Linked DNA regions of Drosophila melanogaster. The protein of the gene in region 1 interacts with the protein of each later gene in a pairwise test. Each region holds a gene or a part of one and is shown in the gene's direction. Other genes may lie near its edges.

Region 1 (3,257 bases):
AACTGGAGCCACGGTCTTGACCACAGCGGGAGCAGCGTAGTGGGCGACAGCAGGGGCGGCGTATTGGGCAACGGGAGCGGCGACGGTCTTCACAACGGGGGCAACGGCGACGGCCTTGACCAGGGGCTCACGGTTGACAACGGCGTTGAATCCGTTGATGGGATCGGCGGTGTACTGGACGATCCTCTTGTAGCCGTCAGCGTCGATCAGGGAGTACTCTCCGCGTACCACATCTCCATCGCGCTCCTCCACCTGTCCCTTGTTGTCACCGGTTAGCTTGTCATCGACTCCGTAGGAGAAGCGGTACTGGGGGTGGGGGTCGTACTCCTCGGCGGCCTTGACCACGACCTTCTGGGCGACGGCCACGGGGGCGTGGGCGTAGGTGGCCACCGCTGGGGCAGCGTGGTACACCTGTGGGGCGGCGATGGGGGCATAACCGGCGCTGGCCACGGCGACGAAGGCGAGGGCGAAGACAAACTGGGGAACATATTCGTTAGAGAAACGGGTTCTGGTGGGATACCACAGGACTCACCTTGAATGCCATTTTATAGGGTTTTTGGATTCGTGGGTTAGTTCTTTGCGGAAACGGTGCTGATGGCTGAATGATACGGTTTCTGGCCGGCCAGCGGTTTTATAGCTCCCGCTTGCAGTTTCTGCTCAGGTGAAGCAAGGTGCTTACGCTTGGCCTTCTGAATATCATGCTCCAAATTAGCGCGAAGTCACCGCTCTGCGAAGTCAACGGCAAAGTCGGCAGAGACGCCGGCAGAGAACCAAGAGAGGAGAAGGGATTTGCGAATGCGAGATGCAGTCCAATTATTTAGAAAGGATTCGGCGGATTCGCGCGGTGCCCACGTTAAAATTGGTAGTTGGGAATGGATTGCATCTGCTAATAGCGTTTCGATTATCCAAGATATTTTAAGGATGGGATCGTGGATGTCTGGTGGGTGGCCTTGATTCCCACAGACTTCGCAAAAGGGCATTTATTTTGAATGAAGCAGCGATTTTCTATATATTGTACAAAAATAATGCATTGTGTAATATATTTTTAACGTTTATGTTCTAAGACCCATAAATGCCAAACTCTTAAATGTGTATCTGATAAATTATTATCTGAGTGTAAATAGAATGTTAGGTATTTAGATGTAGCTAAGTAGTTGTGTTCCTTAGGACACTAACGCAGACCCAACTTAGCTTTTAGTTTTTAGAACCACAGTTTTTGTAGTGTCAACCAATTTCAAAAAATATTAATCTTTTTTCAAGAGTTTTTTCTTATCCAGCACAGTGTAAAGTTCATTCAACTCTTTAAGATTGCAAATCCGTTCGTATAATTATAATCATATATGTATAGAGTATTTAAAGAATATCAATCAGATTGCACAGTGAACTCTAAAGATTCGAAAATCTTTAAAAAAACCTAATCAAAATTTTGCGATTTGCTTTGTAAGAAAAAAATATATGATCAGTATATCTTCTTAAAGCGATCTTATACAGCGTTATATAACAAAGTAATTAGCCACACATTGCGGCCGGCAAAGCCCTTTCGGTATTACGCAAACCTTTCCCCAAAGATCTTTCACTCTTTCGGTGCTGACGGGTTTAGAATCTGTGGCCACAAGCATTTGCACACCCACTGAGCTTAGCGCCACGAACAGGAAGTACAAGTTATTGCCCGACAACAATCGCAGTCGAGAAGCATTTAATATATTTCGCTGTCACCGCGAAAATAACACGTGCTGTCGGCGTATTGGGCCAAAGCAGAGCAGAGCTGGCAGCTTGATTTACTATAAAAGTTGTCGATCGGACACAGAAAAGTATCATTCGCAGATCCAGTTCACTTCTGTAAAGAACTACCAATCAGCACTCCTAGCAACATGGCCTTCAAGGTGAGTCATCTCGATGGAAATCCGGGATCAACTGTATACGAAATTCCGGTTGGATATCTAACGCTCTTGAATTTAGTTTGTCTTCGCCCTCGCCTTCGTCGCCGTGGCCAGCGCCGGTTATGCTCCCATCGCCGCCCCACAGGTGTACCATGCTGCCCCAGCGGTGGCCACCTACGCCCACGCCCCCGTGGCCGTCGCCCAAAAGGTCGTGGTCAAGGCCGCCGAGGAGTACGACCCCCACCCCCAGTACCGCTTCTCCTACGGAGTCGATGACAAGCTAACCGGTGACAACAAGGGACAGGTGGAGGAGCGCGATGGAGATGTGGTACGCGGAGAGTACTCCCTGATCGACGCTGACGGCTACAAGAGGACCGTCCAGTACACCGCCGATCCCATCAACGGATTCAACGCCGTTGTCAACCGTGAGCCCCTGGTCAAGGCCGTCGCCGTTGCCCCCGTTGTGAAGACCGTCGCCGCTCCCGTTGCCCAATACGCCGCCCCTGCTGTCGCCCACTACGCTGCTCCCGCTGTGGTCAAGACCGTTGCTCCAGTTGCCCACTACGCTGCTCCTGCTGTGGTCAAGACTGTGGCCCCAGTGGCTCACTATGCTGCCCCCGCTGCATATGCCACCTATGCTGCTCCCACCCACTACGCAGCTCCCGCCCACTATGCCGCCCCCGCTGCCACCTACACCTCGTACTCGGCTCCCGCCGTCGCCTACCACCACTAGATCCTGGCTAAAATCGACGCTGTACATATATAGAATTGTTGGCTTTATTATAACTGTTCATTTATTTATTGACAGCACCAATAAAAAAATGCATACAAAAATGTAGACATATATCACGAAAGACTAGAGTGTTTTGTGTTGCTTATTCAGAGGTAAGTTCCTGGCAAAGGACTCTCAGAGGTCGTTCACATTGTCCTGTTCTGGTTTGCATTATTTATGTGCTTGTTTTCATAACGAGTTCTTGCCTTCAGTGTGCGAAAAAGTTCACAGACATCGTAGGAGCCAGCCTCGCCGAAGGATTCTTAGGAGCATTAGGGCAATGCAATTCTTGTGGTGCTTTTGGTGGTGCAGTCTGGACTTTTGTTAAGCTATCCTTCAGGGATGCTGCCAGGGGCAACGAACTTCGTTGGCCTGCTTGATGATTTCGTTACGAATGCGGATCTTGATCCTGATCCCGATCCCCTGTCTGTCTGAAGGGCAGACAAATTTCTGGGCTTTGTGTCGGTCATTTCCATTTAAATGGCAGGACTCGTCCACCGCAATGCAAAGAGAATCCCTTTGTTGTTAATTTTTGTAATATAAAACGGAAATTATGGGGTCATGACTTTACTTGCCGGGTGATAAATGGCCGGGTGATAAAATGG
Region 2 (4,996 bases), on another chromosome or scaffold:
TTTGTAAATGTCAGTTTATCTCCTCCTTTATATTGAAGATTTTTAAATTTATTTAATAAACTTCTCAATTTAAAATATTCCTCCTTATTTAGATGATGTAATTGATATTGTGAAAAATCAATTTCTTTTTGATTCCTGATATAAATCAGGATTGTAATTGGATTGGTGTTTTTTGGATATAAAAATTCTGGGTTCTTTCCGATTCTGAGGTAATTAATTATTTATTAATTTCTAACTGATTGCGCATTTGTCAACAATTTTCTACCAATTACGATATGCTAATTATCGTAACTGTGTACATGAAATGTTTGATTTATTTTTAAAATACTATTGCTGGGTAAGATAATCAAGCTTTTCGAAGTAGTAGGCATTTGATGTTAAAACTTCACATATACTATTTTGATATGTATTTTCCATTGATCATATTATTTGTTGATCCTGTATCTAGTAGGCATTTGTATGTGCACCCTTTGTATACTATTTTTATGTATTCGTGTTGTCGGGGCCGTTGACCGAAAATTTTCGTTTAGTTCAGAACCATTTTGATATATATATATTTTGATATATAATATTTCGTTATTAATTTGTACGGGTTGGATCGGTTGTTGCCCTTCATTTATGAACCCATGATTTTGATATGGATTGTATTGATTTTGGTCATAATACTGTTGTTCGTAATAATTAGGTTGGACTTGTTCGAATTCATGTGCGTCTTGGAATCTCATTTCGTCAATAGACATTTTGAAGTTAGAATTCTTAGTTGTGGAGGCTTGTTGTATTGTAGTTGAGGGTATGTATTTCTTATAAAATGTGCTGTTTGAGGATTTTGGATTTGTTGGAAATGACTTTTGGGAATACTTGGTTGAATGCTGATATATGGGCTGGACTTGAAATAATTGGGTGGTATTGATTAAAATTAGGATGGAAGGGTTGAGAATATTGTGGGTAACTTGGTGGATATTGATACAAATACCCAATTGTATTGAAGTTGTGTGATTTTGAATTCAGATAAGGATTTGAGTTTTATTACGGATTTCGAGAAATTTGTTCAATCCAAAATTATTATGTTCTTTATAAATTCCCTCACTCTGTGCAATAGTAAAGTCTGTAATATCACGATGAGCCAAAATATTGTAGTAAATAATTGTATTGGTAGTTATAAGAGTCACTCGTGGAGTCAAAAAGGCATACCAGATTCGTAGAAAAGTATGTAACAGTCGGGAGAAAGCGTTTCCGACTGTATAGAGCTTACATATGTATAAATATATTTGATAGGGATCAATAGCCGGAGTCGATCTGTCCGTGTCAACGTCGAGATCTCAGGAAATATAAGAACTAGACGGTTGAGATTAAGCATACAGATTCTAGAGACATAGACGCAGCGCAAGTTTGTTGACGCATATTGCCACGCCCACTCTAACGGCCACAAGCCGCCCAAAACTGTCAGTTATTAGTCGATTTGACAAAAACTTTTTGCCACGCCCACTGTAACGCCAAGAAGCCGCCGAAGTGGTCACGCCCACACATTTGAACAATTTTTAATTACTTCTCATTTTATTCCCCAATATCTATCGATATCCCACAAAAATGATAAAAATTTCGCGTTTGCATTCATACTAGCTGAGTAAAGGGTATCTGATAGTTGGGGAAAACGACTATAGCATTCTCTCTTGTTGTATATCTGTAAGTTCATTGGATGAATTGAATTTCCTCCCAATTTTTCCTTTTTTTATTTTTTTTTTGTTTGTTGAACAAGGTGCTTGTTAAAGAAACTACAATTGAGCCAAGACAATTTTATAAAACTACAAAAAGAAAAATTATTTAATCAAAATAATAAAAATTTAATTAACCCCAAACTTTTCAATCACCTTCCAGTGCCTATGCCCGCCACCTTCCAGCCTCCACACAAGTCATCAATGTTTTCTACACACGTAGCCTCCTCAGTTGTTTAAGGGATCACAAAGTCTAAGCTTCGCATGTGCCGTGTTGTTTTAAGTGAATTTTGAGTTTTATTGTCGTAAATTATATAATTAGTTCATATACAATCATGTAAGTACAACAAATATTAATAAATATTCTTAGTGGCATGACCATTAGTAAAATATTAATTGAATTACTATATTACTTAATCTAAGCCTATGATTATAGTACCAATATTAATTAAGAATGATCTATGAATAACGATTTTAATCATTTTAATAATCCAATGACTGGTTAAGGCTCTAGGCAAATTACTTAAACAAGTGCTAACGAACATTACATTGACTGCATTTCGCGCGGGAGTATACATATACATACACATTTTTATGTACGCACATGTATGCCAAGAAAATGGCTTAAAACTAAATTCATGTAGAATTTGTATAGTGCACGATAAAAATGCAACCCAAATTCAACCATAAGCACATTTATTTTGATGGTCTGCAGCACTTCGCAAGTTTTGAAACCAATTCGGATATTATATTTTAAATTTCCTTTTCGTTTAGTATTCACAAAATCCGACGATTTTAAACACATATTCATATTCATATAGATAGTTGAATTGAAACTGTTTTCCAACCAAATTGGTTGGAAATTGATATTGATGTGTGTTGTGGATTGGAAAGGAGGATGTGTCGTGTTGCTACGCGTGCATCTTATGAAGAGTGTTGGGATTTATATTGATGTACACATAAACATACGTAACAATTTAAGCTAGGGCTAAAACAGATTAAATAAATTCGAGTTAATAAAATAAAATGGCTCATTATGCACGCTTTTCGTATAATTTCCCGAGCCTATAAAATATGTACAGTATGAAGTGAGCATACACCACATGGCTTAAGCTTAGAAAAAAATATCTTTATTTTTTATTGTACAAAAAATTAATGATGTGATAGTTGTGCGGATGATCTTAAATCCTGCTCGTGGAAGCATTTTTTTATATCATGAACCTAAACAGGTGTCGAATTGTTGTTGGATAGTTTGCTGTTATCACTCGATCAGAATCTATATGCGAAAACAATTTTGCCCACGGCCACTCTACTTCAAGCCACTTCAACTTCAAGCCGCCCACACGTTCGAAAAATTATTTTATTTGTCTACAGTTTTTTTGACAATTTTAATCGATAACCTAATAAAATGAAACAGTACATTTTTCTTGTGCTCTCCCACTATCTGAGTATCCGGTATCAAGAAACTCGACTATATCGTAATTTCTTGTCTTACCTCTTAAGTATTAAGTATTACCTAGTATTAAAATATATATTTGAAATATGTATGTATAAGATGAGTGCTGTGTTTCTCATCTTCCTATATATTATGAAAATTACAAGCTTAAAGTTAACCGCTTAAGACAGATCACCATACGCTCCCTCGATTAATAATTACCTGGAAAGCCTGTTGAGCCTAGATTTTCTTCGCATAAAGTAAATGTACATTTTTTTAACTCTATGCCGCGGAAAAACGTTGGTAATTTGGAAAAATTATATTCCGCCTACAAAAGGTAATCCTTTAAGTAATCCAAATGCTGTGTGATGGTACAGGTGTTGGAGGTGACCTGGAACAACGGACAGACGGCGATGACAGAAATGGGGCGGAGTCATTAAGAAACCATTATAAATGAGGATTCAGTTTGGTTTTATTAAGATTGCAGCGCTTTCTAATTCGGAAGAAATGTTACTTAACTACTACTTAACGAAATTCTGAATATTGTCAACAAAATCTGAAGAAAAATCAATGTACAAAATCTTAACAAATTCTGCAGAAGTTTGGAAAGGTGTGAAAATGAACTTCAGCAAGGTTCAAAAATCTGAAAACAAATTAGTAAAAAAAAAGCACATGTAATGTTTTAATGTAACCAGGGAGTACAAAATGTGTATACATTTCAGGTAACCATGAAAGCAAAGTAATATTTGAAAAGAAAATTAATTAGCTTCCTAGGTCACATCCCCAACCGTAGATGTCTATGAGCAAACTTCTTTGCCCGAATTCGGGAGTCAAGGGAGTCAAGGGAATTGGAGACCTATGCGGTTTTCAGGCACTACCGGTCCACAATAAAGTGGGGAAAACGCATATGCGGTCTTAGCCACTTATTTCTCATTTTGGACTGGACTTTGTTAAGAAGGTAAATGCAAATATTATTTTCGTAAAGAATTCTCTAGAACATGAAAGCGGCACAATAATGATAATTGTATTATTGAATCGTCGAGGGCCTTGGCAACCGGGACCGGGACATTTGCAGACCCTTATCAAGCCATTCCTTAATAAAATCGCTACTATCCAATCCGATTGGGAACGCGTAATTATTAAAAATAACCTTTTCCCAATGGGCGTATCGCATAGGTCATAATCAGAAAATCGAGATAACCTTACAACAACCGCGTGTGTGTTTTCGATAAAAAAGGACATTGTGAAAATGGCAATAAGAAAAACGTATCGTTATCCATTTTAAGAAACTAAAGAACGCTATTGACGCTGAATACTTTACAATACTTCAAATTATGGGAAAAGCTCCACATTTTACAACATCGGACCTTAAATCGTAATTCCATCAAATCGAGTAATTAGAGAAATACAGGGAAACCCCTGAAATATTTTTTAATGACGAACTGCATTTCTACAGAACTACAGAACTGCATTCTGCACCACTCGGACTGCAAATTGCACCAAATTTTTTCCAAAGGACAATCGATGATGCTTTGCGGAACAGATCTTAAATAAACATGCTACGTGTATGTCGATGACGTCAGTTCTTCACAAAAACTAAAGATCATCAAATAAGATATAGAACAGAGCTTAAAAAGTTTATAAAAGCCGGCATCAGGCAGTCTCAAGAAAAGTAAATCGAGGCCTTCCAATCACCTACGTTGATTTACCAAAACTAATATTGCCATCATTCATAGTGATGATGCTCTCTCGTACCTTTTAACTGTTTCCGTAATCAAAAATAATCGCGGAAGCAGACTTCTCATCTACGAAAATCTTTATCCGGCCAAAATAAATTTCTATCGTTTCC
Region 3 (4,865 bases), on another chromosome or scaffold:
AAATGTCAAAAATGCCAAAAAGCAAAAACAACAAAGCACACAAAGACTCCAATGACGATAACTGAAACACCAGAACATGCTTTCGATAGAGTTGTTGTGGACACAATTGGTCCACTACCCAAGTCAGAAAATGGTAACGAGTACGCAGTCACTCTCATATGTGATTTAACCAAGTACTTAGTTGCCATACCAATAGCAAATAAAAGCGCAAAAACAGTCGCAAAAGCTATATTTGAATCTTTTATTCTAAAGTACGGTCCAATGAAGACGTTCATAACGGACATGGGAACAGAGTATAAGAATTCAATAATTACTGACCTGTGTAAATATTTGAAAATAAAAAATATAACATCAACAGCTCATCACCACCAGACAGTTGGAGTAGTAGAAAGAAGTCATAGAACTTTAAACGAGTATATACGATCCTACATATCGACGGACAAAACCGATTGGGACGTATGGCTTCAATATTTCGTATACTGCTTCAACACGACCCAATCTATGGTACATAATTATTGTCCATATGAATTAGTTTTCGGTAGAACAAGTAATTTACCAAAACATTTTAATAAACTACATAGCATAGAACCAATATATAACATAGATGATTACGCTAAGGAGAGTAAATATAGGTTAGAGGTAGCATATGCTCGAGCAAGAAAACTTCTTGAAGCACACAAAGAAAAAAATAAAGAAAATTATGACTTAAAAATAAAAGACATAGAATTAGAAGTAGGAGATAAAGTTTTACTAAGAAATGAGGTAGGTCATAAATTAGACTTTAAATATACGGGGCCCTATAAGATAGAAAGCATAGGAGATAATAACAATATTACGCTACTTACTAATAAAAACAAAAAACAAATAGTTCATAAAGATAGATTAAAGAAATTTCATTCATGATTGAATTTAAACTTATATTTTCCTTAATCATTTATACAAATTTTCCATACACTACGTATATTTTTATCTTTGCATTATAAAATCAACTATTGTTGTTCAAACAAAAACACAAACAAAATAAAAATAAAAATAAAATAATTTGCATTTAATAATCAAAATAACTTCACTAGGTTACGTTATTTTTCAAAAGGAGGGAGATGTAGTATGTGCCTATGCAATATTAAGAACAATTAAATAAAATAGCATATTAACTTATGGCAGCACTTTGTTGCTATGTTTATGTTTATGCACGCAGTTAGGCCAGGGCGGATGTAACATGATCACCCACTCGAAGGCCACAAAGTATAAGTGCATTGCCCACTCGAAGGCAAAAAGTATAAGTGCATGGTCAGCATTCACACGCCGACCAAATACATATTACATACGTACATACATATCTCGCTCTCCCGATAAGCCTAGATATATAAGATATACATAAGAACGCCGCTCCGCTGCTGGCGTACCCGGCAGCGCAGCTACGCGGATTAGCCTAAGTCAAAATATATAAAAAACTGTAAAATCGGAGAGACTCTGTAGACGTTGAGCTGACAGAACCATTTCTGCCTACTCTAAAATCAAAAGAAGAAATTGAATAAATATATGTCAGCCCGACGGCTGCCTTCAACTTAAAACGGACTTGTGTTCTTAATTGGAGTTCATCATTACACGAGAGCAGTTGTAGAACTAAAATTGTTGTGCTATATCGCTAAACGGTGAACGGTAAATATTGAAGAGAGTTTTCCTGGCTTCAATTTTCCTTTGCAATCGCCCCCACCATCCTTGGAATTTTGGGTTTTTTGGAAGAGAAAAACACATGTGGTGTGTCGCCACAGTGTTTTGGTTTTTCTCGGCCGCCCAAGTAGACGGCGCGTAGTTTTTCATTTTGACGGGAGTTTTCCTTTCGGTCGTCGCCTTACACTCATTTCTAATTGTGATTCGTAGGAAGTAAGTTGTCTAGTGCTATATATATATATATTCAAGTAAAATTGTTTTAAATCGGAACACACAACAATAATATATACAAGTAAACACCACTAAATATCGGAAAAGAAAGAAGAGCAAATAATTAAATTACAAAAGAAACCAAGAGAATATCAAGCTAAATCCCATCATCCCATCATCCCATCGTTTTTGGTCTTCTGGTTCTTGTTCATCACCGACGTTATTGATATTGATATTGAATACTGGATATTAAGATACATATATACAAACGCATCGTATCTGGGATAAACGTTCATCACAAGGAATATTAATGATACGCAAAGGCTGTAACTGTAAACTGTGTCCCCTCTCACGTAAGACGTAACGTAAGGCAGCCTGTGGAAACGACGTAGTTTGGACGCAATCAGAAAAATCTCCAAGGAGGACGCAGCTAACGGTGAGTTTTCCTGATGACAGAACAGGGGATTGCTTTTGGGTGGGGGGAGGATGAATGTCACTCGCAGGGAAAATGAAAAATGCCAGGCGAAAATTCTTGGCCATGCAACTCGTTTGGCCGCTCTGCCTCTTTCGCTCCCGCGTACGCTTATGTGTGTGTTTATGCAGCGGAAAACGTGTATTCTTGAGAAAAACCAGAAAATCGAAACCCGGAATTGGGTCAGTATGTCACACGCCGTCCCGCTCCCACCGATTCCAATTCCGATTCCGATTCGAGCTGCTAGTCTGGCTAAAAACTCTGGCTAAAACGTGTTTCGTGCTTAGTCAATTTGTTCTTTTTCATCTAGTCGCAGCTGCGCTGCCGCAGTTGGCGTCGCTGCACGGCCACTTGACTAAAAGCGGCCTAAACAGCATCGCCTCCAGAATGCCTAAAAAACAAAACAACAACATGTAGTGCCGCTGCACGTGTGCGAAAGAGAGGGCGGCGAAAGGTGGGAAAAAGACAGAATGTCTGTCACCCGCGCGACCAACTTAAATACCCTGTACTTATGTGAGGGAATATTGTAGAACAGCTTATTAGTATAGATTCTACACAATAAAACCGTTTAATCATATCACGAAATATTGATAATTAGTACATACAAAACATATGTGGTTTTGTCAGCATAACAAATAATATTATAATAATATAAGGTCAATACATGAGATTTTTAGGCCCTAATATAATTTTCCTAGAGGCAGAACTGCTTTTTTATTTATTATTAATTGCTAGATTCTTTTATACAAAGATAGTTACTTTTTAACTTACACATGTATGTACATATGTATGTGAATGTACATATATGTATATGCTGAGTATCTCCTATTCGCCAGCTTATCTTTTGTGATGTAAAATGATAAATGGCTCGCTCTCCGACTTTCGTAGTTTTGCCTCTCTCTAGTTTTTCGGCCACTCGCTTCACTTGATCTTGCACTCGGATTTCGGCCGAGTTGCAGTCGACAGCGCTGTCAGCGTCGACGGCGACTGCGGCGGCGGCGCTTTTACCTTGAGCACGCCTGCACTTGTCACAGCCCCTCCCCCCGCCCACCGACTCACACGCCGTTTGAATTTGAACTTCTGAAAAAGCCAACACCTTTCGAAATTGTAGCCGCTTTTATTTCTTTTTCTTTTGCCTCCGAGCAGCGGCATTTTTATATTTCTGATGTTTGCTAATAAAATTATTACGACTTGGCCGACAGCGGCTGCTAATGCGTTTTAAGGTCGCCGACGCTGCTCTTGTTGATTTTGATCCAATAAAAAAATGTGATGATGCCCCGCTTAGATTTCTCGGTCCATTTAACATGTGTCCATTGGCCCAGGATCCGATTTGATTTATTTCAAAGTTATTTATTATACAGTCAGGCGAAAAGCAAAACAAACATGAATGGGGAAAATTGAAGGCAAATGGCAGACAGCTGGTGCTCATTTTCCGGGATGCGAAAAAGGGATAGAATTGGGATAGTGCACTGAGAAAAATCAGTGAAAGAGTTCATATCATATCATACTGCATATGTTTGCATCTCAAGAATCTCTTTGTATGAGTAGAGATCAAATGGATAAGGAAACAGCTTTCGTTCATGAGATGTCTATCTCTAAAAACTACTTATAGGTGGAAATTTATTCTAGACAAGGGTAGAGAGCACTGCAAATACGTATCCAAAAACAACTCCCCAGATAATTCATCATTACATCATAACCGTTGCGAATTCATGACTAATGGCCGATGATTTTTCTCTCTGTGGGGAATACGCGACGTCGTGGGATAGGGATAACAACACGGAAGAGGCTCCATTATAGGTTGCTGGTTTACTAGTTAACTGGGCTCCAGCCAAGGGAGCGAAAGGGAAAGGTGACGAACGAGAGGGAGAGAGCGAGAGAGCTAGGGGGAATCTGAATTACAGAGAGTGGGCGGGGGTGGTGACACTGACAGTGGAGCACCTTCGTCATCGTCAAACATTCGGGCTGTATAAGAGCAATAAATAATGCACACGAAGAGCAGTGATGAGAGCCAATGATATGGGAAAATATCGGACGAGAAATTCGACAGAGAGAGAGAGAGAGAGAGAAAGCGGAGAGAAATTTGGGGGGCGAGCGTAAGAGATTCGCCTTGGGGGGTTGATTGTGTTTAATTTTTGCACTTAAGAGCGCAAAAAGTGGCTTTGATTTTCCGCCGGCCCTTCTCACGCAGCTTGGGGCATGCCAACTTTGATGGCCGATTTGACCAACCCCCAGGAGGGAATTCCCAACTTGGCTCATTAAATTGATAACATTAAGCAGGCGATATTTAATTTGATTTTCTCCAGACACAAACACAATCTGATACACAAATTGTATAGATTCTATAAGTTATAGTTTTCTGAAGATTTAAACTTAAAACAAAATTACTGTACTGTTTTCATAGTGTAAAATACCTATGCTAATTTTAGTTTTCGTGGCACTTTTAAATATTATACATAAGCATGATAATTTGTCAAAGTTTCTTGTAGTGCATATATTTTTCGCAGAG
Region 4 (4,451 bases), on another chromosome or scaffold:
ACTCCTTCCAGGTGATTCCGCCCATGGGCCAATTGCTGGCTGGTCAGTGGCAGGCGTACCAGTATCTCGTTGAGAGCATCCGACGGTTTCCCAAGCAGGAGCAATTCAAGCAAATGATCGAGCAGGCCGGATTCGATCAGGTGTCCTACGAGAACCTAACCTTCGGCGTGGTCAGCATTCACTCCGGCTTCAAACTGTGACAGCCGAGGATGATATTTGTTGTAAGCGATTAGGAAATCCTAAGACCATTTGATGGGGCTTAACTATAATCTATATTGTTGGTTTTTTGCGTTTTTTCATGCTGCTCACGTCGGGCAGGTCATAAAGCATCGAATTAAACAAGCTCCTCTGGCGGCTTTTATTTCTGTATGTTTACATTTTGAGGTTTATGTAGCTCTTTGTCAAATATATGTACTTCATGTGCCAAAAGGCAAACCCAAACGGCAAACTGATGACATCTCCGGCGGCAAGGCCTGGGAAAGACCTTGAGGATTGTGTGCCAGACCCACTTAGATGCAAAGGGCGATATGGTGGTAGCCCAATAACCGAACTGTACCAGATGCCAGGTGTAAGGCACTGTAATCGATTTAAATTCCACACACCCAACGGGTCGTTTCCAAAAAAAAGTGAAAATCTCCATGTAGGCTAATCGAAAGTCCATTTACGGCGATGGGATGTGATATAATGCAGAAACTATCCACTTATCTATTGACTTCAGTTCGCCATCAGATGTAGTGCAGGTGAAATTTATGCGTGTGAATGTTGAATTTTAACGAAATTCAAATAATAGCATTGAAATGCCATCAAAATAATTGACCGTGCCATGCTTAATAGGTAATTGCTAATTGGTGCTTTGCAATTGTGCGCTTTTGCTTTTATTACAATGGCTTTATTATGCTTTCACCCGGCGACTGATTAACACGGATTGGACACCCGAATAGCCGCCCATATTATTGGCCGGATTATGTAAGCGGAGACACATTTGATTTGTATCTAAATTGCAGCCAAATCATAAACCTTCGGACCTTCCATCTCCGGCAATCGAAAGTGAAAAGAGTCCGGCGATAAAAAACAAAAAAAACTGAGCACAAAAAGCATGCGGAACATGCAGGCCATTGAAAGCAAAAGTTTGGTGCGTGCGGCAACGTGCTGCGCATGCGTAGGTGGATTCCGGCCAATGGGACAGTGGAGCGGGGCCAGGCAATCAGTGGGACTAGTGGGCAAAGTTGTTGGCAAACTATATAGAGTTTTAGCCTTTTAGATTTTTATGATAATAATCTCGATATCTGAATAAGAAGTAAACTTAGATATGAAGTGTAGTAGGAATATTCCATACTTGAGGAATATACATACCATATATATGCGCACAATCTACGGTACCACAGTGCGTGGTCAGGTGGCGCAGCATAATGAGGCGCTGCTCAGTGGTCAGTGGTCAGTGGGTGAGGGGTCTTCGATTGCGGCAGGTGAAATGGCAGCGTAAAAGTCATAAACTGCCCAATCCATGCCGTATGCCATGCCGATGAGCCGCTGACGGTGGTGCATTGCTAGCACCACCAGTGCCACCGATTGGTATGCACAGTGGGTATGTGCCACTCCACTGTGCCGCGATGTCCGCTTTATAAATACAACAGCGACCAAGGAAGTTCATTTCATTTTCTTGTCGGCGATCGCAGCAAACGGATTAAACGCGAGGCGAGGCGATATATTACATAGTGTCCAAATATACGCATATAGAAATCAAGTCCACTGAATCGAAATGAATCTCTTGGCCAGTTCGAGGAGCCTCCATCTTCTGATGGTCTTGGCTGTCATCTTGGTTTCTCATCGAGCTGAGGCGGGCTTACGTTTGCGTCACACCAGTCGATCGGTCACGCCCCCCGCCAGCACAACGCCCACTTTGACAGTGACCTCCGAGGATGCCCCGCTACAAGAGGAATCGGTGGCGGAGAGTGCCCCAACGGCCAGTGTGGTTACCGAACCGGAAACGGAAGTGGAGGTCACGACCGGAAAGCACAAGCGTGGCATTCTACACGGCCACGCCCACCTGCACGGCCAATGGCCCGCCCGCACCTATGCCGCCCACTACGGCTATAGCCTGCAGCTGCCAGGAGGCAGTGCCTTCCTGGCCGCCGCTCCTCCGCGCCGCCACTTCGTCAAATACGGCCATGGTCTGGTCAAGCCGCTCGTTTCCGGTTCCGGTTTGCTGCCCGCCTTAGCTCCCGCACCCGCTGCCCTGCTGCCCGCCGTCGCCTCAGCCCTGCCCGTTGGATTGCCCACCGGTCTGCCCGGTGGCGTGGCCAGTGCCATTCCCGCCGGAGTCGCTACTGCCTTGTCCACCGGCGTGGCCACCGCTTTGTCCACCGCCGTGGCTCCGCCCTCGTACGTCCTGCGTCCCGGAAATGCGGTCGTCTCCTCGTACAGCGTCAACTATCCGCACCAGCACCTGCAGAAGCCCGTGGTCTTTCAGTCCGCCGTAAAGCCTGTCCACTTCCATGCTCCGGCTCATGGCCATGTGCATGCCGTGCAGGTGAGTTAGCTACATAGGAAACTTGTGGAATATCCCGTTGACCATTTCATTCTTTTCTGTTGCAGCCCACTTATGTGCAGACCTATGCTCCGACTGCTCCGGCAGTGCCTGTTCAGCCCGTGCAGCCAGTGCAGCCAGTTCATCATCTCCAGCCCATTCAGCCCCTTCAACCGGTGCAACCGGTGACCACCCATCTGCAGCCAGTTAGCCCAATCCAACCGGTTCAGCCCCTTCAACCGGTTCAACCCATCCAACCTACAGTGACCTTCGGTGTTCCGTCTCCCCCAGCTGTGGATTTGCCGGTGATCCCTCAGTTCCCACAACCGCCTCAGTTCCCCGGTGTGCCGACCTTTAGCTTCCAGCCCGCTCAGCCAGCGGTGCCAGCCCAACCCGCTGTGCCCGCCCAGCCGGCAGTTCCAGCTGCACCAGAAGCCCCAGAAGTGCCACAGGTTCCCGCCATTCCACAGATTCCGGCCATACCGCAGATACCCCAAATACCACAATTTCCCGGATTCCCTCAATTTCCCGGCTTTCCCCAGATTCCCCAGTTCCCCCAGGCGCCAGCCATTCCATCACCTCCCTCCGTTCCAGGAGTTCCAGCTGTACCCACGGTCCCGGCCTTCCCCAGTCCACCAACTAGCCAATTCTTTCCGGCTGCTCCACAGCCACCATTGCCGCAGCAGCCACCCACTTTTGGCCAACCAGAGTCGCAATTCCCCGGCGGAATTGTACCGCTGCCGGGCTCCACTCCCGTCCGCCCTGAATCCGGCACGGGTATAGCCTCGCCGCAGATTCCCCCACAATCACCCGAGCCGGAGACGCCGTCGGAGGTGCCACCACAGCGGCCATCCGTCCAGCAGCCCTGGAAGCCGGTATTCTATAGTCCACCCACCGAATCCGCGCCAGCGTCGCCGAATCGACCCTCGATCACCCTGCTCCCGCCATACGGAAGTGCGCCAGCTGAAGGTGAGCTCAGATGACGTTATGGATATATATTATTATGCTATATTTCAAACGAATATTTTCCAGGTTACCTGCCACCCGTGGGATCCCAACCGTCGGCCCTGAGTGCCAGTAGTGCCGGAATCGGTGGTCAGGGCGGCATCTTTGACCAGCTGACCGATGCCGAGCTGGAGCACATTTTCGCCCAGGCCAACTTGGCGCAGCAGCAGCACCAGCAGCAGCAGCAGCAGCAGCAACAGCAGCAACAGGGCCACAACTACCACCACTACTGAGTCCACCACTCACTCCACCTAGGGATCTTTTCAAATTTTTTTTTGTTTTTTTTTTTTAAGCCTTCGTTCATTTGTGCTCTACTTGTATTGTAAATTATGTTGCTATTAAATAAGTTATTTATCGAAAAATTGAACAGATCGTTTATTTATTGCGTAATAATAATAAATATAATAAATAATTTAAATAACTAATTCTATTGCAAAGTATATGCGAGATATAGACATAATATCTTAGTTTATTTCCTTTTGGCACATACATATTATCTATTTGAATTTCATTAGGAAATTCCCTTTGGCTCGGCGCATTTTCATTTCCTGAGCTTTTCCGGCGCGCGCTTTTCCCCCAAAGGGCTTTTCACCTTGAACTTGGCGTTCGTTGGTTTCTTTGGAGCTTTTCCCGTTCAGCTTTTCATTCATAAATTGCCAGCCGGCGCGCTGAATGAGTGCGTTGTGTGCTTGGTTGGGTGAAAAGTGGGCGGTTGGGCGGTCGGCTGGGCGGCGCCAGTGGGCGGGGCACCTGGAAAGGCCGCATGCCACATGTTGCAGGCATTCGCTCGCCTTTTTTTCAGCTCAGTTGTTTGTTATCGTTGGCGGCGAACGCGCGTCTGCTGCGGACCAAAAATCGACTATATTCCGACTATATACCGCGCATATATATTTTTGGATCCACCGATCCGCGATCTTAC

Evidence for each region.
Region 2: the proteins of Ccp84Ab (region 1) and Marf1 interact in a two-hybrid assay, tested with the Drosophila melanogaster proteins (one large-scale study listed by BioGRID).
Region 3: the proteins of Ccp84Ab (region 1) and bol interact in a two-hybrid assay, tested with the Drosophila melanogaster proteins (one large-scale study listed by BioGRID).
Region 4: the proteins of Ccp84Ab (region 1) and CG12723 interact in a two-hybrid assay, tested with the Drosophila melanogaster proteins (one large-scale study listed by BioGRID).

The regions. Positions count from the first base shown.
Region 1 is NT_033777.3:6,701,434-6,704,690, reverse strand, and holds Ccp84Ab (Ccp84Ab), read left to right. Parts: upstream 1-1,813; 5' UTR 1,814-1,871; coding exon 1,872-1,883; intron 1,884-1,959; coding exon 1,960-2,613; 3' UTR 2,614-2,723; downstream 2,724-3,257. Other genes in the region: Ccp84Aa, read right to left, coding at 1-477, 533-544.
Region 2 is NT_033779.5:22,309,990-22,314,985, forward strand, and holds the start of Marf1 (meiosis regulator and mRNA stability factor 1), read left to right. Parts: upstream 1-1,937; 5' UTR 1,938-2,049; intron 2,050-4,996.
Region 3 is NT_037436.4:9,127,352-9,132,216, reverse strand, and holds the start of bol (boule), read left to right. Parts: upstream 1-1,861; 5' UTR 1,862-2,320; intron 2,321-4,865. UniProt on the Drosophila melanogaster protein: RNA-binding protein that plays a central role in spermatogenesis. Required for meiotic entry and germline differentiation, at the transition between G2 and M phases of meiosis I.
Region 4 is NC_004354.4:13,189,081-13,193,531, reverse strand, and holds CG12723 (uncharacterized protein), read left to right. Parts: upstream 1-1,648; 5' UTR 1,649-1,759; coding exon 1,760-2,530; intron 2,531-2,595; coding exon 2,596-3,496; intron 3,497-3,559; coding exon 3,560-3,765; 3' UTR 3,766-3,889; downstream 3,890-4,451. Other genes in the region: Coq5 (coenzyme Q5), read left to right, coding at 1-200.